3 linked regions of the Alligator mississippiensis genome follow. Each later gene encodes a partner of the first gene's protein in a complex. Links are inferred from orthologs where the notes say so. Each region holds a gene or a part of one and is shown in the gene's direction. Other genes may lie near its edges. The genes, in order: SMARCD1, PHF10 and PBRM1.

The links.
Region 2: SMARCD1 (region 1) and PHF10 share a complex: the UniProt entries of both Homo sapiens proteins name them as parts of the neural progenitors-specific chromatin remodeling complex. The link is inferred for Alligator mississippiensis from reciprocal best matches to the Homo sapiens genes SMARCD1 and PHF10.
Region 3: SMARCD1 (region 1) and PBRM1 share a complex: the UniProt entries of both Homo sapiens proteins name them as parts of the SWI/SNF-B (PBAF) chromatin remodeling complex. The link is inferred for Alligator mississippiensis from reciprocal best matches to the Homo sapiens genes SMARCD1 and PBRM1.

What each region holds. Positions count from the first base shown.
Region 1 is NC_081838.1:5,929,454-5,940,232, forward strand, and holds the start of SMARCD1 (SWI/SNF-related matrix-associated actin-dependent regulator of chromatin subfamily D member 1), read left to right. Parts: upstream 1-6,581; 5' UTR 6,582-6,589; coding exon 6,590-6,757; intron 6,758-6,839; coding exon 6,840-7,027; intron 7,028-8,058; coding exon 8,059-8,101; intron 8,102-8,181; coding exon 8,182-8,304; intron 8,305-8,487; coding exon 8,488-8,610; intron 8,611-9,035; coding exon 9,036-9,152; intron 9,153-10,459; coding exon 10,460-10,561; intron 10,562-10,639; coding exon 10,640-10,779. Other genes in the region: ASIC1 (acid-sensing ion channel 1), read left to right, coding at 1-75, 1,036-1,115, 1,699-1,803, 2,009-2,113. UniProt on the Homo sapiens protein: Involved in transcriptional activation and repression of select genes by chromatin remodeling (alteration of DNA-nucleosome topology).
Region 2 is NC_081824.1:146,950,592-146,960,719, reverse strand, and holds the start of PHF10 (PHD finger protein 10), read left to right. Parts: upstream 1-5,587; coding exon 5,588-5,857; intron 5,858-9,957; coding exon 9,958-10,064; intron 10,065-10,128. Other genes in the region: DYNLT2 (dynein light chain Tctex-type protein 2), read left to right, coding at 455-565. UniProt on the Homo sapiens protein: Involved in transcription activity regulation by chromatin remodeling. Belongs to the neural progenitors-specific chromatin remodeling complex (npBAF complex) and is required for the proliferation of neural progenitors.
Region 3 is NC_081835.1:38,674,661-38,684,549, forward strand, and holds the start of PBRM1 (protein polybromo-1), read left to right. Parts: upstream 1-5,325; 5' UTR 5,326-5,352; coding exon 5,353-5,427; intron 5,428-5,632; exon of another isoform or gene 5,633-5,687; intron 5,688-8,895; coding exon 8,896-9,051; intron 9,052-9,889. Other genes in the region: GNL3 (guanine nucleotide-binding protein-like 3), read right to left, coding at 1,787-1,924, 4,339-4,397, 4,728-4,740. UniProt on the Homo sapiens protein: Involved in transcriptional activation and repression of select genes by chromatin remodeling (alteration of DNA-nucleosome topology). Required for the stability of the SWI/SNF chromatin remodeling complex SWI/SNF-B (PBAF).

The sequences.
Region 1 (10,779 bases):
TGGACATCTTCTTTGAAGCCCTGAACTACGAGACCATTGAGCAGAAGAAAGCCTACGAGGTGGCTGGCTTGCTGGGTGAGTCTGCAGGTGCTGGTGGCCATGCTCGGGAAGAGACACAACTAGGCCTGCGCTCATTCCTGAGCAGTGCCAGCCTAGCTCGTGCTAAGGGTCCATTCAGCAGGGATCCTACGGGCTCTGCCTCCTGCCTGGCTGTGGGGAGCAGCGAGATCTGGGGCAGGGAGGGCAGTTGGGGACCCTAGTGCTGTGAGCAGCATGACCCACCAGCCTGCTCGGCAGCAGCAGAAGCCAGGCCCGCTCGCACCAGGCTCCCTCCTCAGCCTCCAGACACTTGGGTTCTTTGAATAAAGGATCTAGAAAACGCCGGTGGCTTCATCCGCTCCATCTGTGTGGAGCAGTCGAGGTTTGGGCTCAGGGAACAGGCTTGTGGGACAAGGTCGCCAAGTTGCACCTGTGTCACCTGGGCACCCAGCCTCAGCTGAGGACCACCACGGCCTGTGGAGCAGCGGGTGAGCCATGGGGAGGCGGAGGGCTGCAGATAAAGGACAGGCAGTCGGGTGAGATGTGCACGTGCAGTCACAGCAGCTTGTGGGGACTCACACTGCACCTCTGGGACTGGAAGCACCCAAGATAGGTGGTGTCCCCCCCCCCGGGGCACAGTCCCTGTCCACAGTGGGTCACAGGCCATCCTGGCTTGCCTCTTCTGGGGCACATGCCCCCCCCACCGCTGCCTTCTCTAGGGTCAGGCCCACAATCCCCAGCTGATCTTACCAGGCATTGGCCTTGCAAAGGTCCCCATCACAGGCAGGTGCTAACGAGATTAGTGTGAACTAACGGCAGAGGGATCCGGCCTGTCGCTGCAGGCAAATGAGTCACTACAACAGGTGCAGCTGCCGCCTCCTCCCTCCCACCTCCTTTCTTTTCTCCTTCTCTGCTTCCATCCCTGCTGTCACCCAGCCCCTGGGAGCAGAGCCTGCTGCTCCCCCCTGACTGCCTCTCGTCCCCTCTCCTCTGCAGGTGACATTGGTGGGCAGATGGGGCTGTTTATTGGGGCCAGTATCCTGACTGTGCTAGAGCTGGTTGATTATGTTTATGAGGTGAGTTGCCTCGCTCTCCCTTCTCCTTGGCTTTGGAGCCTGGTCGGCCACGGGGGGATAAAGCCCCCTTCCCTGCCGTGCAGCAGAGCGCTCCCCAGAGGTCCCCTCCCTGCCAACCTGCTTGCCCAGACCCTGCCTTGCCCAGAGCAGCTGCTCCCCTGCTCCATGTCCCTTGCCTGCCTGCCTGCCGGCCGCTCTTCGCCTGATTTTACCCTCCAGCCCCGTCGCGTCAGCCTGGGCTTTTCTGCTTTGCCACTCCCTGGGCCTCTGCCAAGCTTGGGCTCCTCTTCCAATCCTTATGGACCCAAACGTCTCCTGCGAAGACATCCCTCCCACCATACTCTTATCCCACCCTTCCTACCCAGACACTGGTGCTGTGGGGTTGTGCTCTCAGCCTTCCCAGTGCGCGTGCAGGACGTGGAGTCACGCTGGATCCCCTGCTGCAAGCAGGATCTGGCCTGTGCGTTTCCCGTCGCAGACGTCCCATCGCTGGCGACCTGGCCCTTCCCCAGCTTTGAAGAGCACGGGGCTGCTCGTGTCCAGAGGGGCTGTCTCAGCCAGCAGATGCTCTTGCTGCCCCCAGGTTATAAAGCACAAGCTGTGTCGCCGGGGCAAGTGCCGAAAGAACCACAGAAGGAACAACGCGGACCAGGGCGTTGCTCTGAGCATGGATGATGTGAAGCGCCACGTGAGTACTCGAGGCCCCACCCTGGTGCCCGGGGCTCGGCCAGAGTTAGCCTCCACCCTCCAGCGCCCACATAGCGGGGGCATCAGGGCACTGAAGGGCTGCCCCTCTAAGGACCTTTCCCTCTCTAGCAGTGCTCGCGTTGCCATTGCTGGGGGGTTTGGGATTGTCTTCACATGCTCCTAACTTGCCTCTCCCTTGTGCCCAGAACCCCTGCGAGAGCATAAGGGGCCACCCAGCTGGCATGACATACGCAGCCAACATCCTACCTCATCACTCAACCCGGGGCACTTTTGAGGACTTCACCTGCTGACTCGACGTCTGGATGTACAACCAACACTACCAAAGCCCTCTGGAGAGCTGCCCCTCTCCCCGGGAGCGTCAGCGGAGGGGACACACCTAGGGACCTTGCTCCTAGCCACGGTGGGACACGGACAAGAACGATGGCCTCGGTGCTGGGCCAGGCAGCAGATGGTTGTGTTGGGTTGGTTTCTGACCCTGGATACAGACTCCACAGCAGCTGCTCCCCTCCCCACCCCTAGTTTAGAGACTCTTGGACATGCCAGCCCAGCTACACCGTGACGCGACGCTGGGGGCGTCTCTTCCTCAGCGCCCTGCGGGGAGCTACCGCACGCCGGGCTGGGCCCAGGCCTTGCCCCGCTCCTGCCCTCGCCTCCCCCTTCGTTTTTAACTAAAGAGAGCAAGGAACCCAGAAGCCAGGAAGAGTCAGCTCTGTGGCTGCGAAGGCACCAGGGGGAGGAGGCCCTCCCCCTTCCCCATCCATCCATCTGTCTGCCTGCTTTCCCTTCCATCCTGCTTCCACGGGGAGCCCTGGGAGGCAAGGTCGGGTGTAGGGAACCTGGTCCCTCTGCTCGAGTTGAGCCAGCTCTGCAGAGGGCCTTGCTCCCACCCAGGAGGCAGCCCCCGTGGGTGCTGGGCTGGGTCCCCCCTGCTTCAGCAGGATGCTCCAGGTTGTCATCCCTGGGGCAGGTGGAAGAGGGTGGCGAGAGCTGACCCCCGAGCGCCTCTGCTGCCTCTTGGGCACAGCCAGAGCGCTCTCGCTCTTGTGTCAGCCCCAGCGCATCTCACTGTGTCTCGCTGAGTATAGGGTCCTCGGGAGCCTGCTGCCATAGGAAGGGCTCTGCCCTGTGCCCAGCGCGCCCGCTGTCCTCCAGTGCACCCGTGCACGGTGCTGCGAGCTGAGCCGAGGTCACGCCAGCTCCCTCCGTGAGCTAGTGTCGCTCTAGTCCTTCTATCGCCATCCTCTGCATGAGCTGCCCTGCCCCAGCCCTATGAGGTCTCTGTCCCCAGCCCCCACGGTGTAGAGGGCTGAGGCCCCCTCCCAGCCTCCACTGTGGCTGGCCCCAGGGGTGGAGGAGGGCTTTCCAAAGAACCCGAGGGGCCTCGAGCCGCTCTGCCCTCAAGCAGTCCCCAGGTGGATGGGAAGTCGCTGCGGAAGGGGCCTCTCCACTGCCTGACGAGCCCCCTGCACAGGGGCGAGTGCATTGGGTGGGCAGGGGATGTGGGGGCCTGACCACATCTCCGCGATGCCCGTTACCGCGCAGGCAGTGGTGGTCCAGGGGGAGCCTGCCCAGTAGCATGGCCTCTCAGCCCAGCTGCTCCCAGGCTGCCCCTCAGCCCGTGGAGCAGCCGGACACAGGTGTGACCCCCCCAACAAGGCCCTGGTTCAGCTTTCCCAGGGCAGCCACATGCTGGCAGGTGCCTGCCCAGATCCTCGTCCCCCAGGGAGTACGGGGCTCTGCGCCCCTTCTGCCAGGCTACGCACAAGCCCACCACGCTCCTGGAACAGCGAGTCTGGAGCCGGGAGCGCCTGCAGCCAGGAGCGCTGGCACCCTGGACTGAGCCAAGCACCCGGGGCAGCAGCTTTGAGCAGGGCAGGCGCTACGCGCACACCCCAGCCCGGGCCTCAGCCGCCCTCCCCACGCCAAGTAGTCTTACCGCAGGAGGGGGGTGTTGAGGTACAGGGCTCTTTGCTTTGGGGAGGGGGTGGACACCTGCCCTGTCCCTGCAGCCAGGCTCCCCCAGGCAACAGCTGCTCCTGGAAACACAGGGCTTGGGCACGGTCTGGTGCAGAAGTGGCCAGCAGCTGTCCTGGGTCTGGGTCCCCTGGGGCCTCTGCTGGCCGGCTGCCCTCAGAGGGGGTTGTGCTCAGGGAGCCAGGCCCCCTCCATGGACCACCGCTCCTTCCAGACCCACCGCAGGCTGCTGGGCTGCAGCTGTTTGTCACAAATACCGCTGCAGCAGGGGTTGCCGGCCCAGGAAACCTCAATTGTTTTGTTCCACGGTCAATGAAAAAGCCTTCCCGTCGCCCCCGACACTGGGCTCCAGCCCTGTCGAGCTCTGCCCCATGTTCAGCAACGGCCCTGCCGGGCTAAAGTGCTACTTATCTTTAAGAGCTTTTGCAATAAGTCTTTTTTTTAATGATGATTATTATTTTTTTAATCTTTCTTTTACTTTTATTGTTGTTATTTCCATGTCCTGACCAAAATTAGGAATTGGGGGGGTCAGTCCTTTGTATCCTGCAGTCACCTGAAGACAAATGGGTCGGCCACGTCCATAAATTTTCTTATGGATCTTTCTTGCAGTTTTGTTGCTTTTCATTTTATTTTTTGGTTTTGTTCTCTCTCTCTCTCTCCCTCTCTCTCTCTTTCTCTAAAGCTTTTAAAGATGGGGCTTGGATTTGACCTCGATGCTCACCTGTTGAGGCATACAATTTTTTTATTTGTTTGTCTGTTTTTATTATAATCATCCTCATTTTATATTTCTTATATATAATATATATTACTATATATATATATGTACATATATATATATATATACCTCTATATGCGCCATATCAGTGTAGATACCCATCCAGTAGCATTTAGGCCTTGATATTGTGCCATTTTCTGTTACCGATCTCTGAATGCCTTCAAGTGTATAAAGTGTTGAATTATCTCTGGTATCTGTACTATGTACACACATTTTCATAGGAAGCACAATAAGATGACAGATGCATTGTACATCAAACCTGCTACTCTTAGCAATGATATAAAGGATGGTATAAATCATGAAGACAGCCTTCTTCTCTCTTGCTGGGCTGCAGGAATCAATCTCCCAGGGGCGGGTAGGCACTGCACACAGGCTGGGCTCCCTGCAGGGCTGAGGTGGGCTTCTCAGCCGGCCGTGGAGCGGGGCCGTGATGCGAGAACAAGCTCCGGCCCTGCCCTAAGTGCACGCTTAGATTGTGAGAGGCCCAGAGACTCCAGGCGTGCTTTTGTAACAGCTCACTTAGATCAGGGGGTCCCAAAGGAGGGGCTGCTGGAAGCACTTCCAGTCCAAGGGACATCTTTTCAACTATTTACTGGCTTTGTCCTCTGGCGGCGAGTCAGCGATTGGGGAGGTTTGAGCAAAAGCAGAGTCTGTTTTCAAGCGTGTAGGAAACACACTTTTCCCATTGTTAGCGTGAGCCCGCTAGCCTTTTACCGGGGTCGGTTTGGGGCAAGAACCTGACACTGAAGGAAGAGCCTGTCTCACTTGTCTGACTTAGTAGCCCTTGTGCATGCAGGACCAAGTGTACTGTGCAGACTGGGACATAAACAAGAGCTCTGCCCAAAAGCCTTTTCAGCCGAGTGTTTCTCTGGAACAAAGAGCAGTGCATATAAATTATGCTTGTGACCCACTTCTGTTGGGCCGGGCTGGGGCTAGGCTGGCCAGGAAGAGGCGGTTTTTGTCTAGGAGAGGAATGGTAGAAGCAACATCCTCTGAAAGGAGTTGACAGACCTAAATGAACTGGAGCCAGCCGTGAAGCAAACCCCAAGTGCAGGCATAGCATAGCAATGAGAGGAGCGGATCGCACCCGCTCCTGGGGCTACCGCAGCGATCTGAGGACCGGCGCGGCCGCGGCACGCAAGCCGTCGGCAAGTGCTGCCATCAAGGGCGCGCCGCGCCTTTGCGCACGGTCCCTGGCGGCACGAAGGATACAGCTCACTCCCACCAGCCTCCACCTCATGTCAGCATTTCGGCACGGAGCTGGGACCTGGGTTGTGAGGCAAGAGGGACCCGCGCCGGGCAAGGGGCAAGGGCCTGCGGGCTGGGCCAGCGCACGGGCAGGGCGCGGCACAGACGCCCCAGCTTCCTGCCCGGGCTGCTGTGGGGGGGCCAGTCGCTGCCACCGGCCGTGGCCCTGCAGCCCGCGGTCGCTGTCACGGTGCGGCGCCGCGCTGCAATAAGGGTGCGGAAAAACTCCAGCGGGTCCAGAGAAGAGGCGCCCCTACGATGAGGGACTTGCAAGGCAAGCCAGAGGCGGAGAGGCGGAGGGACTTCGGTCTCAAGAGACGGCGGGGAGGCGACTTGATAGCGGCTTACTGCTATCTCAGAGGAGTGCAGCGGGAGCTCGGGGAACAACCCCCGCGAAGACCAGGACCAATGGGTGCAAACTCCTGCAAGGCCGCTTCAGGCTTAATAGCAGGGAAAACTCCTTCACAGCCCGGGTGTCCCGAATAAACTCCCTCCGGAGGTGTGCAGTCCCCTACCCTGGAGGTTTCCCAGAGGAGCCTGGACAGTCACCTGAGCCCAGCTGTCTGCCGGCCTAGTGCCACCTCCACCGCGTGCACCCATTGCTCCTTCCGCCACCGCGAAGACCTGCCTAAGCGCCCCGCCCCGCCCCGCCAGAGGGCGCGCGCCGCCGCCCCCGGGGCGCTCTAGCCCCGCCTCGGCGCCGCGCTCTATGGTCCGCTTCCGCTTCCGGCGCGGCGCCCCTCCCGCCGCCCCCTTTGTGCGGCACAAGATGGCGGCGCGGGCGGGCTTCCAGGCCGTGGCTCCGAGCGGCGGCGGCGGCGGGGCGGCCGCGGGGGCCGGGGCGCTGGGGCCGGGCGCGCCGGGGCCCCCCGTGCGCATGGGGCCGGCGCCGGGCCAGGGCCTTTACCGCTCCCCGCTGCCGGGGGCCGCCTACCCGGTATGGGGGGGGGAGGGGAGGCCGGGGGGGCCGGGCCGCGCGTGGGCCCGCCACCGACCGGCCCGTGTGTTTGTCTCCGCAGCGCCCGGGCCTGCTGCCGGGCAGCCGCCTGGCACCGCAGGGCCCGGCCATGGGCCCGCCCGGCTACGGCGGGAGCCCCGCGGTGCGGCCCGGCATGGCCCAGGCCGGCCTGGACCAGTCGCGCAAGCGCCCGGCGCCGCAGCAGATCCAGCAGGTGCAGCAGCAGGCCGTGCAGAACCGCAACCACAAGTAAGGGCCCCCGCGCCCGCCCGGAGCCGTGTCCGCGAGCGGGAGCCGCGCTCGCCTGCCTAGGCTGCGGTCTCGGGGGTGGGGGTGGGGTCGCTGGGTGGCGGCGGGCGGTGATTTCGGGCGGCGGGCCGGCCGCGCTTCGAGTTTTGGCAAGCTGTCGCTGCCCCGTCCCTGGTTGACACCTTAGGACCAGAAGTCCTCACCCTTGAGCTTTGCCACCAGGAGCCCCTGAGGACTGGGGCGATGCCTGCGGTCCTCCCCTTTCTCTCTCCGCCCCCCCTTTCCTCCTCATCTGTGTTACCCGGGGCGCGGGGAGGCAGGAGCAGCTCGAGGGCAGAAGCCCCTTCCCGTTGGGGCTCGGGGTGGGTGGGACTTGCTGCTGCGGCTGTGCCGTTCTGCCGGTGGCTTCCCCTGGGTCCTACTGCTCCTGGTTCCTGTCATCTTTGACAGGCAGCCAGGAGCAGATTCATATTCATTTTGTACATTTTTTTTTTTTTTAGGGGACCTGCGGGCCGTATTTTGCCCGCCCCCGAATTAGGTAGAAATAACGGTACGCAGATGGTACAGCAAGGGCAGCTCTGGGTTGGTTGGGCTTTTTTCTTTTTTAACTTCATAGCAGTCATTGTGCCTTGGTGAGCGGTGGCAGCCCAACGTTATCCGTCGGTTGAGAAAAGGATTGACTGCAAAATCTATCAATCGATGTTAAATCAAGAGTGCGGAGTCGCTTTGTACCAAAGTAAAATACTGCCCCCAGCTCAGTGCAGCCCTGGTTCCCCTGGGAGACCGGAGATGTTCAGAGACCCGGGGGGTCTCAGTGCTGCAGAGCTTGCTGTGCCGGAGCCGAGTGCCAGCCCCGCTGTGGCTAGGCGCCGTATGCGTGGGCTGACAGTATAACAGCTGCACTGGAGAGGCCAGGGCCAAGGATGACCCAGAGCATCTCGCAACACAGTTGTAGGTCTGAGGGTAAAGCCCCTTCCGGTCTGAGGGGCAAAGGGGTTGCCACCCTAATGCATGTGTCTTTTTTTACGCAGCGCTAAGAAGAAGAAAATGGCTGACAAAATTCTACCTCAGAGGGTGAGTGTGGCGCGTGCGCGCAGTCTCCAAGCTCTCAGCGGTTTGAGCGGCGTGTTTGACTGGCTTGTGCTTTGCTGCAGATTCGTGAGCTGGTACCCGAATCTCAGGCCTACATGGATCTGCTGGCATTTGAAAGGAAACTGGACCAGACGATCATGAGGAAACGGTTGGATATCCAGGAGGCCTTGAAACGACCCATTAAGGTAGAGGAGGAGAGCGGCTTACGCCCTTTGTCTTGCCCAGACGTGGGATTAGTTTACATGGCAGCGTGCTGGGGAGGTGAAAGGCAGAGGGAAAGCGTCTTGGCTGCGGGCATGGCATGGACGGGGTTATTGGCATTTAGCGTTTAGGGTTTTGCCATTAATGTTTTGCTGATACTTTCTTAGCAAAAACGAAAGCTTCGCATCTTCATTTCCAACACTTTCAATCCGGCCAAGTCGGATGCAGAGGATGGTGAGGGGACTGTTGCCTCGTGGGAGCTCAGGGTGGAAGGACGTCTGCTAGAGGATGTGAGTGCGAGAGCTGCAGCTCCTTTTGGGAGGCCAAGGGAGGTGCATCAGTGTTCGGATAATGTGGGTTGAGTGGGCATAAGATGGGAGTCCCTTGCTAGTGGGTTGTGATTTAAAAGGTTTGGACTTGCAAGGGCAGACCAGCTCTTTAGAGGCTGAGGCTGTAACTAGGGGCCTCCTTGGTGTTCAGTAAGAATGAAACAGAAATCTGTTGGGGGAGGGTAAGGGTAAGAGAGCCGTGCCTGGTTCTCCAGCCTGTGGATAGGGATGTTTCTAAGGCAGATTTATGGGGAAAGGGATAAAACACACAGTAAAGAGGCAAGTGTTCTGTGGGCTTCAGGTCATCATCTTCATCAGCCCTGTTATGTATGCTCAATGGCTGGGGTGGGCAGCCATGACACTCTTCCTCTTCTGTGCTGCTGCAGTCAGCTCTGTCCAAATATGATGCCACCAAACAGAAAAGGAAGTTTTCATCCTTCTTTAAGTCTCTGGTCATCGAGCTGGATAAAGACCTGTATGGCCCAGACAATCACTTGGTGGAGGTGAGCTGTCCTTCTTACTGTCCCTGAGGGAGGGCTGCAGTGTTGGCAGTGGGGAGGTGCGTGTCTTGTTCCTGGGAGATGTGGTTTTGTCTAGGGGCTGGCACAAAGGGGTGGGCCAGGAACTCGAGAGGTTGATCCTAACTGTGCTGCCGGTTTGTTGCGAGTTTGGGACATGTTGTTAACATTTGTGAAATGGGAAGGATGCCGAGTTAAATCTTGAGTGGGGGCTGGTGCCTGTTGCAGAAGAGAATGAATTTTTTAGGTCTGCAGCTTTCATAGTTTATGAATCTCTTTAAATCTTGAGATGAAAGGTAGCTCCTCTTTGAACTACAAATCATTACTAGAATATCAGTGTGCCTCTGGAGCGTGAGAAGTGCCGAACTACAAAGCATGATGCTGCGGGATCATGGAGCACTTGCGTGGCAGTCGTGTACGTGTGTTCTCAGTTCTAGCCACCTGGCTCAGCCGCCTCAGATCTGTAACAGTGCAGGCAGTGGATGAAGTCTGTTGTCCATACGAGTAGCTGTTGCATAACACAGCATAAGTGCCTGTCCTCCATTTCTCCGTACTCGGAGTAAGGCTGATAACTCGGGGAAGGCAGCAGAGTATGTCCTGCCCTGCTGTCACCACTGAGGGTCTTGGTCCTGAGGGATTTCTGTGCACAGTTTACCTCTGAACACAGGGCCGGAAGGGCTCCTTGCCATCGTGTCCACTCTTCTGCTGTGTTGGGCACAAGGTTGTATCACGTTCCATCTTACAGCCATTAGTCTTGTTTGCCTCCTCTGCTCCCGGTGGAAGGCTGTTCCAAACCAATTGATTGTTCTGACACGTTACAGCTTTCTCAATTCCTGTCTACATTTATTCATGGCCAGTTTATACCCATTTGTTCTTAGGTTAAATAGCCTTTTTGTCTCCTGCTGCATTTGTAGCCGTCATATTTCTACTTGGCATTTGTTTTGCAAGAGCAAACAAGCCAAACTCTTTCAGTCCCCGTCTTGGAAGATAGGCTGAGCAAATTGGTTATCTGTTTGCTTTTCTGGTGGACTTTCTAAGCCCCAAGGCTAGGGTTTTGTCCTCCTTTCAGAAGGAATGTTGGCGTGGTCTCGGTGCTCTCTGGCCAAATGCAGCGCACGTGGCAGAGATTGCCCAAAGCCAGACGGACGAGATCTGTGTGGGGAGGGACCTCAGTCATCTGTAAATGGCAGTGTATAGAAAGGCATTCTGTTGGGCAGGCAGTGGGGGCAAAGGCAGTCGCCTAGCAGTGTGTGTCCGTAAGTCAAGCTGTCTCCCTGGTTTGCTCATTGCAGTGGCACAGGACTGCTACTACCCAGGAGACGGATGGCTTCCAGGTGAAGAGGCCTGGTGATGTGAATGTGCGCTGCACTGTCCTCCTGATGCTGGACTACCAGGTAGGCAGGCTTACATGATGCAGCTCAGAGCCAGGGGACAGCCCGCATCTTCTCATCTCTGTCATGCTTTTGTCTCAGCCTCCACAGTTCAAGCTGGACCCCCGCCTGGCCCGTCTCTTGGGGATACACACCCAGACCCGCCCGGTGATCATTCAGGCACTGTGGCAGTATATCAAGACCCACAAACTGCAGGACCCCCATGAACGGGAGTATGTCAT
Region 2 (10,128 bases), on another chromosome or scaffold:
ACACAGGGAGCAACGGTGCCACGTAGCAATAATCTATCATATGCATATGTCAGTATATGGAGGGCATGTGGAGTTTTTACACCTTTTGTTTCGGTGAATTTGGTAACAGAGAGAAAACCACTTAATTACAGTTTTTACCTTCCAGGTTTTGGAAAGTCAGATCTCTTAAATGTGATTTTCTTTGAAGGAAAAACATATTTCGCGGTAACATAAAAATATGATATAGAAACATATATATAATTAATACAAGTAATATAATGTAATATAAAGAATTTAGTAATGCCCCTTGTAATTTTGCAGTTTTATATCCATTATTTTTAATACAGTCATATAAACTAGCAGTATCTCTGTAATGCTGCATGTTCATTTTACATTTTTAAAGTGAAAAAATATTTCCTTAAGACTTGTGCTACTTAATGAGTTTCTATGTACTTTGTTCTTTTCTCCCATATAGATTGCCAGCAGATGGCTCTGGGATGTTGCAAGGGATGACTGGGTTTCAGCTAAATGTGAAATGGAATCTTTTGTTGTATTGGCTTTGCTAGTTGCCTGTTATTTTGAGTAATTTTTCTAAAAGCTGCAACTATTAATGTATCTCACAGCATTGTGAATGTTTGTTCAAAACCTTTCAAAATATTATTGTTGAATGCTTTCTTTTAAATTTTAAAATAGCTGTTTTGTTAAAAATCCACATACTGTACTTTAATTCTTTCTAGTTTATTTGTGTGTGTGTTGTGCATATTATATGTCTACTGCATTTCTGTGTCTAAAAATTAATGATACGTTTAAGGCCACATCTTGCAAGGTACCAAATGTCACTTCCAGCAGTTGCTAAGCAATGGATTTATAACAAACTGCAGTTTAACAATTTCATTCATTAAAGCAAAATGTTCTGCCTTTGGAGGTGGAATTTGCAACAGAAAAGTAACATTGTATTTTCCCCTAGGTCTTGTCATATTCATCAAGCTGCACAGGAAGAGTTTGTACAGACCTGGTATAAGAAGCCACTGTAATGTAACTTATATTTAAAAAACTTTGATTAGATTAAATATATTTTCTCTCTCTACTTTAGTCAACTGTTACTTCTTATCCTTCTTGTTAAACAGTTTGGTATTTTGAAATTTGGAACATCCTGTGTAAATTTGTCTTTACCCAAATCTAAGTTATTCTGAATTTAAAATGACTTCCCAATAATTAGATTCTGATAATGGAAAATTCATAAATTTGTTGTAATTTTCCATGTACACAATTTAATTATTGGGATATTGTCTTAAAGTCATGGTCCCCACCACTTCAGCAGTAAAAGGATTGGTGAGGGGCGGGCAGCAGGGGGAATCAGATAGATAGCCTGACCCCTGTCCCTTGCTCCCCTATACCTTTCCTCCCCTCCACTTGCCCCACTGCTGCCTGCACCAAACAGTGCCTGAGTCCCCTTCCCCCTTGCTCTTCCCCATGCCTTCAACCCTTGGCACCTCCCCCCGCAGTGCTTTCCCCTTCCACTTGGTCCCCCTTGCTGCCTGCTCCCCAGGTTTTGTCCCTGGTCTTTCCCCCCACCTCTGCCCCGCCATCTGGGGCCCCCCACAGCCTTTTTCCCCTTCTGCCACCTACGCTTTCCCCCCCCACACAGCCACTGCCCCCTAACCCAGCCCCAATGGTTCTGGCAGGGCTCCATCCCTGCTACAGCCCAAGGCAGGGGTCATGTAGCTGTGTCAACCTGGCCTGGTAGCAGGCTGCTGCTGGTGGGTTGGCCTGGGCTGGTGCTGGAGCAGCTATATGTCCCTGCCCCAGGCTGGAGTGGGAATGGACCCTGTTGGAGCCAGAGAGTAAGTGAGGGCTCAGGGCAGGGGGTGGTGGTAGCTTCTGGGGGGTAGGTGAAGGGGTAGAGGCTGCAGGAGAGAGGGTAGGCAGCAGCTGCAGCTACAACCACAACTGTGGGTCAGTCAGAGCTGTAGCACTTGCCTCCTGACCCACCAAACCAGCCACCTTGTACTTGAATCTAAGATGAGGAGCATTCCCCCCCCCCCATTTAATGGAGGGGGGCACCTCATCTTGGATTTGAGTAAATGCAGTAATGTTTTGTACTACCAAGCCCTTACCTCTAACACAGACAGATCTTCAGATTAGAAATGTCACTTAAGCAGTAGCATAAGTGAGGTGGGATGGTGGGGGCACCAACCCTGGGCTCCAATTTAGAGAGGTGAGGAAACCACTGCCCCATGTGCTGCAGAACTGCCTAGTTACATGTCTGCTTATAAATGTTCACACTTGGCTTCAAGCTAAACATTGGGCCTCAGTCCAATCAACACTTAAGCAAATGAAAGCTTTCTTATTTGTGCATTTAAATACACGTGTATGGTCCCACTTCTGCAAATTCTTAAATATGCAAAGGCAGGGGAAGATGGCACCTTAGGACTTGTATACAGTTGCATGGAGTCCCAGTGTGTATAGAAAGGCATAAGCCGGCAGGGTGCTTTCAAATAAAACATATTCGATGACCTTTATTTCAAAGTGCCCTGCCGCCATTTTTTCAGCACTGGGATGCTGATACACGTGACACACGGGTGCTTTTAAATAAAGTGCCTGGCTTGCTAACTAAAGTGCCTGGCACCGCATCCCATAGCACATGTAAAAATGCCTGTAAAGACTAGGCATAAGCTTTCATAGGCTACAGGCTACTGCATACATTCATAGCATCTGATAAAGTAGGTTGTAGCCACCAAAAGGTTATGCCTTTCCGAATAAGTTAGTCCATGGATGCTCAAGCCCCAGCCCACAGGCCACACCTGGCTCCCAAGCCGTGTCACCCAGCCTGTAGGGCTCCCCAGTATGCTGAAAAACCTGGGGGGAGCACTGGCAGCATTAAATGTCACTTGCCTGCTGCTCAGTGTCTGGACCTAGGGAAAGCCCCAACACTGGTATAATTGCGGGGAGGATGATAGGGGTAACCACTGTGCCCCAACTTGGGGGGGATGTTGGGGAGATAGTTGCTTCTGACAGCTGTGTATTCACAATTATTTCAACAGCAACCTGAAGTTGCCCTTTTCACTTTGCTGTGGGTGCCTGACTGCATCCCTACATTGCTGGCCTCTCAGGCTGGGCAGTATGGCACAGCACTAAAGCCCAATCCCAGCACACAGGGGTGGTGCAGGACCTAATCCTGCTGGGCATGGGTGGCGTAATTTGCTAGGGCCTGAAGCCCAGTCCTGCCTGCGGACCAGGTCCCTGCCACTTATCTGGCCCACGGGTCCAAAAGTTTGAGCATCAGAGTTAGTTTATAACTGCTTTCTGCCTGACTTCAGACTAGTATGGCTAACTACCTCTCTTTAAATCTGTGGTTCTCAGCCTTTATAGGCTCAAGGCCCCTCTCAGAAAATGTCAGCTCTTAGTTTTCATTAATTTTTTGAGAGAAGATTATCTTGTGAATCATGTTTGCACACCTCAGAGTGCTAACACTATGTGGTTTCCTACAGCACCTTTGAAAGGATCTCAAGGCACCTGAGGAGCCATACTCCCTTGGTCGAAAATCACTGTTTTAAATATATGAGTAACTGACTTCTGTAAGACCACACATGGTGAATGAAATGGTACTATTCATGCGGGTAAAAACGCACATCTTAATTGTTCACAGGATCAGACTCTTAACTTTTCTGTAATGATATACATCTAATTTGTTCCGTCTTTAAATTACTTTAGTCTTGCTGGGAGACTTATGTGAACATGGGGAAGGAAATCCACACTTCAATGACTGAACAGATGTGAAGTTTGTCTTTCAGTGTTGTATATTTGCCATGGTGCTGTGCGTTTCACATGTTCTTTCTATTAAGCACTGTAGAATAAGTTAGCTGCAGACATTGCTCTAAAATATTCTTTTTCATGGTACATACAGTTGTCCAGTATGTTGTGATACACACCTTATTTGGTTGGCTGTTTACTTACATTTGCCACCTCCTTGATATTTCCAAAGACTGCATACGCTTGACAAAGGAGAATGGATCATTGCCAGTTTCCTTACTGTTTAAATCAAGACTGTTTAAATCCAATGCAAGACTTTCTTCCTCAGGGCTCTGATCACAAGGAGCCAGGCACAGCGACTAAACCCGCTCAGCCTGGCTCCATGTCATCAGAGCCCTGAGGAAGAAGGTCTTGCATTGGAAAGTTTGTTTAACTTGATCCCAACTGGCACCGTAAAAGACAACACCCTAAGAAATCCTTGCCCCTCACATTCATTTCTGGACCATCACGGCTACACCAGTGCTCTTGCACTACCGTAACATTAAAGCGTTACAATACCCCCCCCCCCAACTAGGAATGATTTCTTTTGTCACACCGGGCATAGCAGAGTTATGTGTAGTAGTCAGAGCATGAACGACTTGTGCCCCCAGTGGCTAGGAGGGTATGGCAGCAGCTGAAGTACAGCGGTTGCGGGAGGAGCCCAGTGGTGGTGAGCAAGGAGCTCCCACAGACACCGCCGGTGCTGAGTACTGACCAAGGGCTGGTGACCACCAGCAGCCAGCAGGGATTGCAGACTGCCCGTAGACATTGCCGGCACCGGGTGGCAAGCAGCGACTGCCTGCAGGGGTCAACAGTGTTGGCGGAGCCTTTTTGTAGGGGGTCCACCGCCATGCTCAGGGGGTGCATGTGTACCCGCATGCACCCCCTCTACGCATCGCCCCTGATTCAGAGTATTGTAGATGTTCAGTCCTCTGGGAACGAGGCTGTGTTTCTTGCATAGGCTTAGGAAATATATGTCGCTGTTGAGTTTGGCTTCTTTCTTTTTCATATTGTGAAGTTTCCATTTCAAACAGCAAAATGTGGTATCTTCCATGTTTTGAGGGTGTTGGTTGCAGCCGTGTTGATCTAAGGACATAGATCTCATAGATTTCACAGACATTAGGGCTGGAAGGGACCTCACGAGATTATCGGGTCCAGCCCCCAGGCGAAGAAGGAAAAAGGCTAGATATAAAACAAAGACACTGGCCCAGTACTCTGATCACCCAACAGAGGGGAATGCGAAGACAGTCAGAAAGCCAGCTACAATTCCCTGCCCTGGTGCCAGCAAGGCCCTGGCATCAGCTCACGCATACTGATTTGATCACAACCCCCACTGAGGGATGCCGGCTTTTTATTCCCATGTCACAGACCTGGGAACAAAGTTCAGGGTGGTGTTGCACCACGCATTGCCACCACTTAGGCCTGCTGTATGGATACGAGGGCGCGCCTCCACACGCAGTCTCTGAAATAACCATGCGGTAAATACAGCACCTTACACCGACTTGAGCGAAAGTTTGATAGAAATGAAATTTACACCCAATTAGTTAGGGCGCCGTCAGGCACGTGTAGACACCGGTCTATTCCTGCTTAACCCGCAGTAAATTCAAGGATGCACGTGTGGACAGCCCCGGAGGGTACCACAGTGCTGCGGCACAGCCACGCTCTCTATCCTCGGAGGTGTTTCAGACGGGTGATGCCGTGCCCCGTCCCGGGGGAGAGCGGCCCCGGGGGAGGGGGCCCAGGTGCGGGCGGCGCGAGGCGGAGCGAGCACAGGGGGCAGGCCCGCGGGGGGGGAGCTGCGGCGGCGGGCAGGGGGATGCAGGAGGCGGGCGAGCGGCGCGGCGGCCGGGCCCGGGGCCGAGGCCGAGGTCGGGGCCGGGGCCGCCCCCTCTCCCCGGCAGGGGCCGCTGCTCGCGTCGCCGCGGGGGCCGGGGGCGGGGCCGTGCGCAGCGCGGCGGCGGCGGCAGCGCCTCCCCCCGCCCAGCCCGAGCCCGCGGCGGCGGCAGGGACTGGGGTGATGGCGGCCGTGCTGTCCCCCAGGGTGTGCGACAGCGACCCGGCCACGCCCGGCGCGCAGTCCCTCAAGGTGAGCGCGGCCCGAGGGGCGCGGGCGGGGGAGCCTCGAGCGCCGGCGGCAGCTGCGCAGGCCGGGCCCAGCCCCGCGGCCCAGGCCCTCCCCCACGGCCCCGGCCCCGGGGGGTGCCTGCGTTGCCCTTGGGTCCCGGGGAGCTACCTCAGGAGCAGCAGCATAGCTAGATTCCTGGCGGCCCCGGGTGAACTTGTAGTATGCGGCCGCCCCTTTGCAAGAGATGATGATGGTAATAATAATAACAATTGCCATTTTGGCCTCCCCCCTCCCCCCCTTTCTTTTCACGTCCTGGGCGGCCGCCCTGTCTGCCCGTGCCTGTGTCCGGCTCTGTTTGTGAGCCAAACCCAGGGCTTTGGAACAGGAGTCCAGGGCAAAACCTGTGGCTGCAGGGGCCCGCTGCATCCAGCCACTTGCCACCCCTATGCTGCCAGTTTCACGTCTGGCTGCTTGCTGCCCCCGCCACTGGCTTTACACCTGGCTGCTTGCTGCCCCCCTGCCCCCAGCTTCATGTCTGGCTGTGCGCCACTGGCTTCTTCAGCTGCTCGCCGCCCTCCCCTGCGGCTGGCTTCTTTGTGGCAGGGGGCCCCAAAAAATTGTTGGTTGGCCCTGTCCATGGTGGTCCAAGCATGGCTGTAGACTTGTAGAGCACTTTGCTCCCCTCTTTTTTTGGGTCTCTCTCTTGCTCTCTCTCTCGGTCCTAGAATGGCTGGTGGGGCGTGACAAAAAAGACTGGGCTGCAGGTGAGGTGGATCTGGACAGAGAAGGAAATGCTCCAGATTTTGCGGAGGTGTGGAGTCATGTGTTTAGGAGATGACCGCCCCCCCCCTCCCCCCCCAAACAAGCCATGCTTTACAAAAAGGCTGGTCAGGCTCAGGCATCTGTCCTGGAAAGCATTGTTTCTGGCAACAGCTGGGGAGGTTGCAGAGAATAATCAGCTGAGCAGGCGCTCCAAGCAAGGTGCTGCAGTTAAGAGGTGACATAGACTTGCTCTGGTATTTTTCTGCAGTCCAAAAAAAAAAAAATGGAGAAAGAAAACCAAGAGCTGGCAGTTTCTAAGGGAGCTTCCAGTCTAAGGAGCAGGGCCTCCACAGGGGCCTTCTAAAACGGTTGAGAACCACTGTGCTACGCTGACGGGCCCTCTCTCTCCTACTTTTTCTGTTTCCCATGCATGAATTTAGAGGCTGGGATCAAGTTGTTCTTCAAGCCTTTTTAAAAAAATTTTTTTTTTTAATTAAGATACGCAGCCAAGCTTATTTTTTTTCTCTTGTTAGGAAACCTCTGTTCCATTCCTCTCATTATTCATATGGAGGGTTTGTAAGTTTTCTCCCATTTTGAACCTTCCTCCTTAAATTAAGGACACCAGAACCGGTCGTGGTATTCCAGTGGCAGAGAGGTGGTGTAATTGCACTACAGCTGCTTCGTGTCATCTCTCTAAAATAAATCCAAGAATCCTGTAGCATCTCGCAGCATCTCATTCTGAGTTTGTGTTCAACTAATTATTTCCCTGTTGTTCTTGGAATCATTGCTTTCCAGGGTGGAGGCCTGAGCCTTTCTTATAAAGGTGGCTTTTTGCTCCTAATTCATTACTTTAGACCTGGGTGAAATCCAGAACTTTTCATTCTCAATCCAGATCTGTGTCACCTGCAGCCAAATTTTTTTTTATGCTAGACAGGTTTTGGAGTTGGTAAGAGAGTACTGTTAAAATAATTTTGGTATCAAAGATAATGAATTCGAGAGGTAAGTAAAGATGTTCCTCCTCTGCAAGCCCTTGAGGAAAGTGCAGCTATTTTGGGGGTAACACTACATCAAACTTTAGATTCAATCCAGAAATGGAAACAGTAGGTCTAAGATGACAGTTATTGGCCTTAGCATCTGTCCTGGCATTGTTTCAGTTATTGTTGGAATTGGTATGTTTGCTGATGGAGATGGGATAAAAATATTCCAACAAAAATCACCAGGGCATTATGTCTGTGTGCTCATCATATCTACTTCTTAATATGATGTGTGCATAGGCCCGTGGTTCTTTCAGCCTTCACTCTTAAGCCAAAGGCTTTCTCATTGTCTTTGTGCTTTCCATCTTTGAACTTCTATTTTAGTGTCAAGGCTGAGTGAATATATTGTATTGATACTTGTTTCTATAGTTTTAGGGGAGGGGTAGGCAACCCCCAGCATGGTTGCCAGAGCATGGCACATGTGCCTCAGGTTGGACAACAGGGAAGGGGTTGCCACAACAGGGATCAGGCCCCTAGCAGCTCCCCCACTACGCACTCCAGCATGCCAACATCTTACAAGTCAAGGTTGCGATGTTTTTGGCACTCTGCTCATAAATGTTGCCGGCCCCTGTTTTAGGGTATCATAATAAAACTATTAAGATGTGGAGTTTCATCCACTTCTTTTCTGCTTCCCCGTTCCCTTTCCCTTTAAAACTTTTCTTCTGTTTTAAAAAGGATGCCATCAACTGAAGGTCTGTTAACTTAAATCTGTTTTTCCCTGCCAGTTGTTGTGCAGTGTTGTCTGCAATTAAGTTTTGCCAGTGTAACTGGATTGGTGAGGAGTGGGTATGTGCATGTAGGAAGGACTTATACACCAGAAAGACAGTGGTGCTGCTGAAAAATACCATGGTGTTAAAACCTTCAGAGTAAGGCAAGTATAGAGCGCCTCAAAACCTTATCCCTCACTGCCTTGTGGCCCTGATAAAAACATGCCCTTAGCGAGGCATTAGGCAGTCAGCAGCAGTTCTTATCTGTTGCTCGGTGACAGAAGCTACAACCATCAAGGGACTGAATGTTTGGACTAGGTGGCCTTTGGATTCTGTCTCAATGGTCTAAAGGCAGGGTGGTGGGTCTTGGGCAGCCTCCACTCCTCCATACTCCTGCCCAGGTGTATGCATCAAAGGTCTTGATGTGATGGTTGCAGAACTCTGTACAAGCAGATTCATCTGACACCTTATTAGACCTCTTACATGTACACCATGATCCAGAGGATCAACTGTTTCCTGTTATTCCTACCACCAGTCTAGCTGTACTGGTAAGCCCTTTAAATGGAGAAAAGCCCTGTCTTTCCCTGTGTTATATGTGCTTTTGTTTTCCTTGATGCTGTATGAAAGACCTATACAAATGAAAGGGGGAAATGGGCTGTAGATGAAGATCCATCAAACAAAGTAAACATTAGATTAGATGACATCTTTTTGCTATGATTACATACATTCCATTTTATTTCTACCTTTGAACATATGCCCCTGAGATCTCACCACAGCCTATATTCTAAACAACATCTCTTCTTTTGCCATTAAATCTCTTGAAATCTGGCTGGCAAGAAGTGCTATTGATGTTATCATTTCTATTCTGTGATAGCTCTGTTTTGAAAAGAAGGTTCCTATTACCTGTATTTTTCCAGCTGCTTTGCATCAGTTTCTTTCTCTACATTCTCTTCCTGAAAGGCATTTACTCTGTAATGCTCTGTTCAGAGCTTTATGTAAATTATGTATGGTTCCTTTTTATACATCTAAGAAAGTGAGTTTTACTGATACTTTAAGGGTGATTATATACACCCTCATTTTGCTGCTGGTGCCATACTGTGTTCCTTGATTTATATCAGCCCCAAAGAAGGACTGAGCACCTCTGCATTGCCACCAGGCATCCTGAGAAGGATATTTATATATTTGGGGGAGTTAGCCATACTCCCTGTTTTCTCTGTGATTTTCATAGAGTGCTGTCTCTGCTGATGGAGCTGTGCCATTGAGTGCATGGGAGATGGGCAGAACCAAACCTTTGTCTACTTCCCACTCCTTTTTTTTTTTCCTCACCTGATTTAAAGGGTTGGTTGGGGACAATAGAGTGGCTTAGCTTCCCTTGTACTTTTACCCATTAGGCAAGTAGCCAGCCAGTGCAGGAGAGCAAAGTGCTGTGCAAACTAGAGCAGTTTGACTTATAGGAGACCCATTTGAAATAGTGCAGTAGTTCTAGGGGGTAAGTTTATTCTGACACAGAATGGCTGACCCCAGAGTTTATTGTATTATTCTTTAAATAGTGGTATTATAATATATTGAGTACTGGCTAGATTTTTCTTAATGCTTGTGCTCCATGCTTTTATTGCAGGATGACACAGAAGAAAATTCAAATGATGGCAGCCAGCCTTCAAAAAGACGACGTATGGGCTCAGGGGACAGTTCTCGAAGTTGTGAAACCTCTAGTCAAGATCTTGGGTAATATCATTTTACTGAGGTTTTCAAACACTACTTCATTGCATGTTTCTATAGTTTTAGGAAA
Region 3 (9,889 bases), on another chromosome or scaffold:
ACTGATATGCCCAATAACATGCTAAATAAATGCTCCATGTGAGCAAAGCCACAGTGCAGCACGCAAGCAACCAGCACAGTCCGGCAGCATGGATAGCAGCTGGGTCCAACGGGTAAGTCTGCTGTGGGGGAAAGGGCATGAGGGCAGCAGATCAAGGCCTCAATGGTGGAGGAGGGAGTGGGGCTGGGGTAGCTGCAGGTGCTACACAGCTGGGGCAGGAGCAGCTCCTGCTGCTACATGCACCCCTGGGAGGGCATGGGCGGTGTGTGCCCCCAGATCTGCATGCAGGACGGAGCTTGCTGCCACTGTGGGCTGGGGTGGCGCTGGGTTCTTCCTGGCATGGGACTGGGCTGGGTTACGCTCAGGACAGGTGGTGGAGGTGCTGGGAGGGAGGGGTCGGGCGGGGCTATGGAGAATTCTGGAGTGGCTGCAGCCCTTCCTGTAGCCCCCCACGGTGAGAAAGGGAGTGGGGCCAGGGCAGGTGATGCACAGCCAGGGTGGAATGCAGGACAGAGGGGTGCAGCTCCCACCACTATGAGCACCCCCAGAGGGCATAGGGGCCGTGTGCCCCCAGATCTGCATGTGGGGTGAGGGTGAGCTGCGGGCTGGAGCCAGGGCAGCATGGGGAAGGATTGGGGGGCGGGGGCCTACAGAGAATTCTGGAGTGGCTGCAGCCCCTCCCGTAGTCCCCTCCCAGCACCGCCACTGCCCATCCTGAGTGCAGCCCCTGACCGGGAAGAACCCGGCACTGTCCTGGCCCCAGCCTGCAGTGGCCCACCTTCGCCCCACGTGCAGATCTGGAGGCACATCACCCCATGCCCTCCATGCATGTAGTGGCTGGAGCTGCCCCCCACTGACTGAGGCTCAGTCCTGTGCCCTGCCCCACTCCCTCCCCCACCACTGAGGTCTCAATCTGCCCCACCTCCTTAAAAACAAGAAAAAAAATAAAGGGGTACAAGGTGAAACTTTGAGGCAGAAGGGGTACATTTGTTAAAAAGAGGTTGAAAACTCAACTTGGAATGTTATTAATTTAATTTGCATGAATTTTAGCACTTGTACTAAATTAGTTCTTTGCAACAGAACTTTATTATGAAGATGTTAGAGAGATCCCTCACCAGAGCCATTTCTCCCAACAGACAAGTCAGCAGAACTGATCCAAACAGAGGTACAAGGCGAGCTTTTAAAGGAGATTGATAAACCAAACAGTAACAAATCACTAGGACTTGACAACATTCACCCTAGCATCCTGAAGGAGCTCAAATCTGAAATTGTGAAATTAATTACCATAATATGCAACCTATAACTAGGGATCTACATTAAATGTTACAATACAGGAAAGAGATCTTGGGGCCCTGGCATACACTACATTTAGGACATGATTAAGATGTTAATTGTGCCATAAACAGTACATATGTTAAAGCCGATTTATGGGATATTAATATAGCAAATAAGACACAAAGATATTCCATATATAATATCTTTGTGGCTTGTTTGTATCACACCTTAAAGTGAAAGTGTGGCATGTTGGGGTTGATACATGAAAGATCCCAATACTCAGCTGAGCACAGAGATCCGGCATGGGGAAACCCCAAAGTCCAGGACACAGGTCCCTACCCAATCACTGGGATCAGGCTGTGGACAGCACTGGGTACTAGATTAAACACCCCCATCCAAGTAAATGGCTATTAAGGCTATGTAAAGTGAAGGATGACATGCACCAAGTTCCCCTGAAAGTGAGGCTGTCTTCATACCCCCTTTCACTTCACTATAAATTAAACTATGTTACCCTTTGTTTCCTTTGTTCAGCTTCACGAAGAACTTCCTCCTTGAATGGTGCAGCACTGGGAACCCCTGGATCTTTTCGGGGCTTTTTGTTTCCACGCTTCTTGGCTTCTTTCCTGAGTTTTCTCTTGTGTTCCCGTACCTGTAATCAAGAAAGAATATATATTGGAATTCAGTTTAATAGGAAAAGCTAAATGCCTACATATAAGTATGTGGCCAGAGAAAGATTTTTAATTGCAAAATCAACACGCATGTAGCTATAGCTAAATTAATGAATCCTAAGTATTACAAACTTAAAATTCAAAAGATCTACAGTATTACATCATCTGTGCCACTGCCCCTCCCAATGAAGATCTGTTCTTTACAATATACTTGAAGGCAATTTTCAAGCACCGTTCAGACTCCCATATCCACTTAAAATAACCTCTACTGCAATGATTCTCAGCCAGGGCGATGGGACACCCTGGAGTACTGCCAGATCCTCTGAGCATTCCCTCATGATAAGATAAACTAGGTAGATTAACTCAGGCTCAGGCTAATGCCGATCTAAGTAATTATCCCACCCCCATGTCCCAGCCCCTCTGCAAGGAGGTAAAGACTAGAGGTGCACTGATATATCAGTCGCATATTGGATCAGCACTGATAACAGAAAAAATAACATTATCAGCCTTCAGCTTTTTTTTGGCCCATAATACCACCAATAAATGCTGCGTGCATGTCAAGTACTGGGCCAGGAATGCAGCCCTGAAGCTTGGAGAGCAGCATCCTGTTGGTAGGTTGGGGGGGGGGGGGGGGGGAGAAATCAAGGCCCCCAGGGTGAGGGAGGGATGGGTCAGGTGCTGCCCACCCAGGGTGGCGGATGCAACCCCAGGGCGAGGCAGAGCCGTGGGTAGCTCATCTAGGGGGTGCAGAGCAGGGACTCCCCCCTGCCACTGTGCGCACCCCTAGGGGGAGGCATGAGGGGCATGTGCCCCCCGAGATTTGTGCAGGGGGTGAAGATGGGCTGCCCGCTGTGCACTAGGGTTCAGCATCTGCACCAGCCTCTTCCCCAAGGTGGAGGCTGGGCCAGGGCTCCACTTGGGGTAGGTGGGGGTGGGGTGGGCTCAGCTGTGCGGGGCAGGCAGCAGCAGTGCTGGGAAGGGTGGCTATGGGGAATTTGGGGATGGCCATAGTCCCCAAAGTCCACTCTCAGTGCTGCTACCTGTACCCCCACAGCTGAGCCCACCCCACCCCACCCCACCCCAGTGCAGCTCTGGCTCCAAGCCTGCAGTGGGCAGCCTGCCCTCGCCCTGCATACAAATCTGGGGCAGCACATGCCCCCATGCCTTTCCCAAGGGTGAGCACAGCGGCAGGAAGCCATCCCCCCCGCCCTCTGGAATGGCAGTGCGTGGCTCCACCACATGCCCCAGGGTTGCATTCACCACCCTGGATGGGGCAGCACCTGCCCCATCCCTCCCTCACCCTGGGAGCCTCAATTTCCTTCCCCACCCAGGCTTACCAGCAGGAGGCTGCTCTCTAAGCTGCTGGGCTGTATTCCTAGCCCCATGCATGCCATAAACACAGAATTTATCAGTGACTTTATCAGCCAAAAAAAATGCCATGCCAGCATTTCCCCCCCCACAGCATGCAGCCTATTGCTTGTGCTGGTGCAAGGTCTGAAACCCTCTGCTACTTAGAAGACAGCCCTATGTTAGAGCTCTTGATAACGCAGCACATTAGAAATACCTCAGATCTGGGGGTCCAGACCCCTGGAAGGAGTCTGGCAGCGCTGAGAGAGCAGGTTGAGCTCCATGGAGCTGGTGGAGCCACTCAAAGTGCAGCCTGGCAGCAGGAGGCAGGGAGATCCAGTGGCAGAGACGCTCTGAGCGTAGCCTGGCAGCAAGAGGCTCTGCAGCCCCACAGAGTTGAGCCTAGCAGCGGGAAGGAGGGGAGAGCCACTGGCCAGGGCTGCGCTCAGAACAAAGGCTGCGCTCAGAGCAGCTCCACCACTGGCTCTCCTGCTGCTGGGCTGAGCTTCGTGGGGCTTGCGGAGCTGCTCGGAGTACAGCCCTAGCTCTCCCCCACCTCCCGCCACTGGGCTGCTTTGAAACTTGAAACATTTTGGGTGCCCTCATTTCATTTCAAAGCCTGTTGTTTCATTTCGATTTCACTGTCCCAAGCTAAAAGGCGCCGAAACAGCTTCAAAATAAAACACCAGTTGAAATTTTGGACAGCCCTACTGAGCCCCACTGCCCTAGACAAACAGTGGAACCATGAACATGTGCGGTGTGAAAGAACTAGGAGCTGCACTACGGGGCCCCAGCTGGGGAACGTGTAGGTGAGTGCTGAACAGTGTACAGCCCTCCCCTGCAAATGCAACAAGTCTGTTCAGGACTTCGATGTAGCTGAACACAATGAGGCTCCACGTAGTGCTTTGCAGCCCAAAGCCCTCGGGAAGCCGGGCAGCGAAGACCTGGCCTGAGCTTTCCTGCTTGCCTTCCCCCTCCCGCCTGCCTATGCTGTGCTTGGGGCAGAAACTGGTCCCTTGAATCCGACCGCTCCCGCTTGGTGACCCACCTTCCTCTGGATCTTGTACCGCTTGTGGCAGGTCAGGCGCTTGCTGCCCTTCCGAAGCTCTGCAATCAGGACACGCCATTAACAGAGGGCAGACGAAGGCCGCCGCCTATCAGCACCCGATGATGTCGCGGGCCACGGGCGCCCGAGTGTGGCCGGGCCTCGGCCACAGGTCTTGGGCACGGAGTCCCGGCCCCACGTTGCTACAGCCTCCGATTGATCGCGACCGCCCGGCCTGGCCCGGCCCCCACTACCGCGCGCCCCAGTCCCGGCCCCGCCCGAACCTCCCACGGCCACGGCCCCCAGTCGCTGGCCCCTGCCACAGCCTCGCTCCCGCTCCCACTCCCGTTCCCGGGCCGCGCGGCCAGGCGGCGCCAGCGCCCCGCACTCACTAGGCCTCTTCATGGCTGCTGCCGCGCGCTCACCCCGCGTGCAGGCGGCGGAGCCGAACCTGGCGGCTCTGCCGTAAAGCGCACCGCCCGCCCCTTCCGCGTCCCGCCCCTAGGCGCTGCACGGGTTGTCGCGCTGGCGGGCTCGCTCGGCGGCCGGGCGGGCTTTACGGCAGCGGCAGGGTCGGTGGTGAGGGGCGACAGCGGCTGTGCCGGCAGGGCGGCAGCGGTGGGCGAGTGCGGCCGCAGTAGCGGGCGGCAGAGCGGAGCTGCCTGGGTGGGTGAGGGAGTGAGCGGTGAGGTGGTGCGCCGAGGCGGGGCGGGACGGGGCGGGGCGGGGCGAGGCTGGGCCCGGTAGCCGGGAGGCCTCTGCTTCCCTTTGTGTGGCCGCCCTGCCCGCTCGTGGCGGCGGCGGTGCCCGCCCTCGCGCGGCGACCCCCCGCCCCGCGCCACGGGACTGCCGAGGGCCCCCCGCTGCCGGCCGCGCCGGGCTGGCCCCGTGTCTTGAGGGGCGATTCCCCCGCGGGAGACGCGTTGCCGCAGTGCTTCCACGAGGCTCCTGCTCCGGCCGGGGCGGTGGCGGGGGCTGTCAGCGCAGGGAGAAGCCCCGCCGCCGCCGGGAGCCTCGATGCCCGGTGCTGTCACGCGGTTTGCTGTCGGTGGCCCCGGGATGGGCAGGCGGGCTCTGCTGCCGCTAGCGCAGGTGACAGCCGGGGGCTGGGAAGGGACCGGCCGCGACGCCTTGACGTCTCCGGCGATGTGAGGGGTCCGGTGCACTCTGGCGATGCGCGGGGTCGGGGCGGGCAGCAGGGTAGAGCGCACTTGCCACGGCTGTGCAAGGCCCCGAAGACGTGCGTGGCCCCAGGGAAGCGGCGCTTCCCTTCAAAGTTTGTTCCGTCTTGTCACAGTAGTGCCGCTGCTGCCGGAACCTGCCACGGGAGCAACAGAGTCCTGCAGCGTTTGGTAGGAGAAGAATTAAACTGGGACAAGCCTCTGTTTTGTGTACTTGTTATCTGTCTTGTACACTTCTTTCTCCAAGGCTGAGGAGACAACTGTGCGGCCTAGCTAACTTCTTTCCTGCTTTATCCTCTGAAACAACCCTCTGACATGCTTTCCCAGGTTACAACACAGTTTTAGTCTTGTCAGTAATGCTGCAGGACAGTATATGGTACATTCTCTCCCCATCATTTTGTTGTGTTTGTCAACTATCTGTTGAATGGTTTTATAGAAATCCAGGGAACTTTCAAAAATAGTTTTTGTGGCATCTATATACATGCTTTGATTAGCTACTCTGAAGGGTACGTAAAAATTTAGACTTTTAAAAAACACTTTTCAGCTCCTTTTAAAAATATTTTAAAGATGTGTAGAAACAGTATTCTTACATGGGGATTACTTTTGATAATAGATGTGTGGGACCTTAATGGAGTACATCAGAATATTACATCCTCAGATATTGTTAGAAGAAATTATGTTTTAGTATTAGGAAGAGAAATTTTCTTCAGTGACTGCCTGTAGGTGGGGTCTTCAGGTGCCTAACCTTTTAAAGAAGTTTAAAAAAATATAATGGCTAGGATTTACTAGTATTGTATAAGTGGTGTGGAGATGCTGTACTTGAATCCCATCAGATTATTTTATAGTCCTCAAGATCCTTTGCTTCATATAAGGACCAATTTTCTAGTGGAGATACACTAGTACTTGGTGCATTATTCAAGGATACATGAAATATTTTGATTCCAAATGATAAAGTACTACATACTAGATGAGTAAAAATCATTTTATTCTTTTTGGTTCTTTGAATACAGTTTTTTTAGAAGAACAGTTTTAGAACAGGTATTCACTGCTGACAAAACTGTATAGATTAATATTTTCCATGCTGGACTTGATACACTTTTGATTTTAGTAGATCTGTGTTTAATCAAGCTCATTATTTCATGGTATGATATGTTGAAAATCTGTCATGCAATAGGGATATAGCTGAAGGTTTTTGAACGGGGGTTAAATTAAGGCTTAATAAAGTAGAATCAGCAATTTCCGGAGAGTCTTGATGGTGTGGGTCATTGCTACAAGTCTGCCTAGTAACTTAGGGTTGTAAGACTTTTTTTTTCTTCTTTTTACTGTCACTGTACTACTTTTTTATAGTACCATCAACTTACAGTTTCCACTTACTCCCTCTTACACTTAGGCTACTAGATGAAGTGATACTTGCATTACTCGGGCTAGTGAATGGCTCACATTATAGTAGCATTTAAACATTTTAGTTAAAAGTTCCAGAAATGTATATGCTTTGCGTATGCAGAAAACCTTTAGTTTTTGATAACCCCCTCCAAATTTATGTTTCCTCTTTTCTCCAGCCTTTGTGATGGCTTTTCTCAACTGTTATTCTTAAATTCTTTTTCTCTCTACTCTCTCCTTTTAACCTTTCCCCTCTTCTGTTTTTTCTCTCATTTTTCTTCTCTTTCAGCTTTGGCTATTAATGCAATTGCTGATTTGACATTTTCAAAGACTTGCCATCTCTTAGTACTTTAACCTGACCATTGGACACAATGAGGAGACTGGCTTTTCGAGGTGCTGGTTGTACTCTGGTAAATCTGGTAAATTATTGATCATATACACACCCTTCTTCCTTTCCCCTGCCTGGCCTTTTATTTTTCTTTATCTTAGCCTTAGTGAATCCAACCTCATGCTCATTCATCTTGTTTGTTTACTTGTAATGAATTGTTCACTGGAATAAACATGAACATAGCTATGTCACTACTTCACCTTATATAAACTGTAGATTATATAACAGAAAAATACATTGTTAAAGTGAAAAGAGCATGGGTGACACTGGAAATATTTTTTTTGTAATAGTGACACCTTGCCATTAACATTTTGGCAGGATCCAGCAATATGTTTCATAGTAAACTCAGTAGTTGCTGGATGCCTAATAATTTCAGTCAATAGTGATGTTAATAAATTCAGACCAGGGACAAAAAGAGAAGACTCCTTGAGTGATCCAATTTGCACTCAGTCCTAATTTTCAAGTGAGAATGATGTAGCTTGAGAATGCAACCAAATTTACCTGTATTGTGGCCCAAATCCTTTGTTTGTCTGTTTGTTTTTGTGATTCTGGGACTAGATATTACATAGCAGTTGTGATTTTACTCTTAGTTGCATTAACTGTATGTTTTGGTTTTTAGCTTATCAGAGTTGTAAAACTATCTCTGAACTTCTCATGTATCATGACAATACATCTTATCATTATTTTGGAATGAGGAGTCATAAGCTTTTATAGTTTAAAAAAACATCCTAGTAACTGCTAGATAATTGCAGCACTTTGTGCAAGTCCCCAGCCCTGCAGGGATGGGTAGCAGTATATAATTCAAAATGTATTTGATTCATAGAATCATAGAAAATTAGGGTTAGAAGGGACTTCATCTAGTCCAGCCCCCTGTTCAAAGCAGGACCATCCCCAACTAGATCATCCTAGCCAAAGCTTTGTCTAATCGGGTTTATAAAACTTCTGTAACCTGGGAGGTACACACTTCCAAGGTTGGAGATTCTACCACCTCTCTGATAACCTGTTCCAGTGTTTTACTAGAACACTAGTGAGAGAAATTTTCCTAATATCTAACCTAAACTTCCCTTGCTGGAACTTGAGACCGTTGCTCCTTGTTCTATCATTGACCACCAGTGAAAACAGCCTAGCTCCACCCTCTTTCAAATACCTCTTCAGGTAGTTGAAGGCTGCTATTAAATCCTCTCTCAGTCTTCTCTTCACTAGACTAAATAAGCCCTGTTCCCTCAGTCTTTCCTCATAAGTCATGATCCCCCAGCCTCCCTCACCATTTTTGTTACCCTCTGCTGATCTTTCTCCGATTTGTCCACATCCTTTCTGTAGTGGAGTACCCAAAACTGTACTTGGTACTCCAGATGTGGCCTCACCAGTGCTGAATAGAGGGAAATAATAACTTTCCTTGACCTGTGTGCAACAGTGCTATTTTATAGACTTAAACCACTAATGCAACTCTGAAAGTTTACTTAATAATAATCTCATTAGGTAACAATGCATAAGTAAATTGTTGCAAATGTTCCTGACTCTATATACCCTTAACTGATAGTCAGTAGTTAGCTGTCACCAGAAAACTTGTGTACAATGCCTTAAGTTTAAGAACATCTTTCTTCATTATAGAAGAAGTTGGATTCCATGGGTTCCAAGAGGCGAAGGGCTACTTCTCCTTCCAGCAGTGTCAGTGGAGGAGATTTTGATGATGGTCACCACTCAACAAATACACCAGGCCCGAGCAGGAAAAGGCGGAGACTGTCTAATCTCCCAACTGTAGATCCTGTAAGTACCTTTTTACATGCACACATTTTATCTTGCTGCATAAATCCAAATGTGGAATATCTTTTGAAAAGTTAAAACGATTAAGAGAACATTTTTTGCTGTAAAAAGACATATTTGGTAAGAACATTTAAAATAAGGGTGACAGTAACATAATGTTCCATAGCTGAGGCGCTGTGTCTTTTTTCCAGACTACCTCTGTCCTCCCAAAGTGATATTTTACATTTTTTAAGGACTTTGCAGCGTTCCCTAGTCTCCCTTGCTGAGAGGTGTAGTTTGTGTCCTGAGCTCTAATTTTGACTGAGTCCTATTTATAACTATCTGAAGTCCAACAACACTCTATGTACATTGGCTCAGATGATTGCTGTGAAGAAGAGGTGTTAGACTCATTTTGTGAAGAAGTCTGAATTCCATTTTTAATTATGATCTATGAGCTTGAGTGTAAATTTATGCTTAAGCACCCCTGATAGCATTCTGAAGATCTCTTGCAGATGTCAGTGCAGTATATGCGCAAAGATGAAGAGGTAGAATATAATGATGCTTTTCCATATACTACATCAAATGTTTGTTATCCATTCAGTATCTTATTCGGCTCTGGTTTCTGAATTCCTGATTGCTTGTCTCATTCTGTTGCTCATTATTTCTCATTTTGCTGCTTTTCTGTCTGTGCAATTTTTGGGTCTCCTCTTGTCTTCTGTCTACATTTTCTTCTCTGCAGTGATTTTCTGTTTCCATATTTTATGATTTTAACTTCATTCCCATTCTGTTTCCCTTTGCTAAAATGATGGGTATATAAAAAGTCAACACTGATATTTCAAGTGACATAATGTTTTAGAGTTAA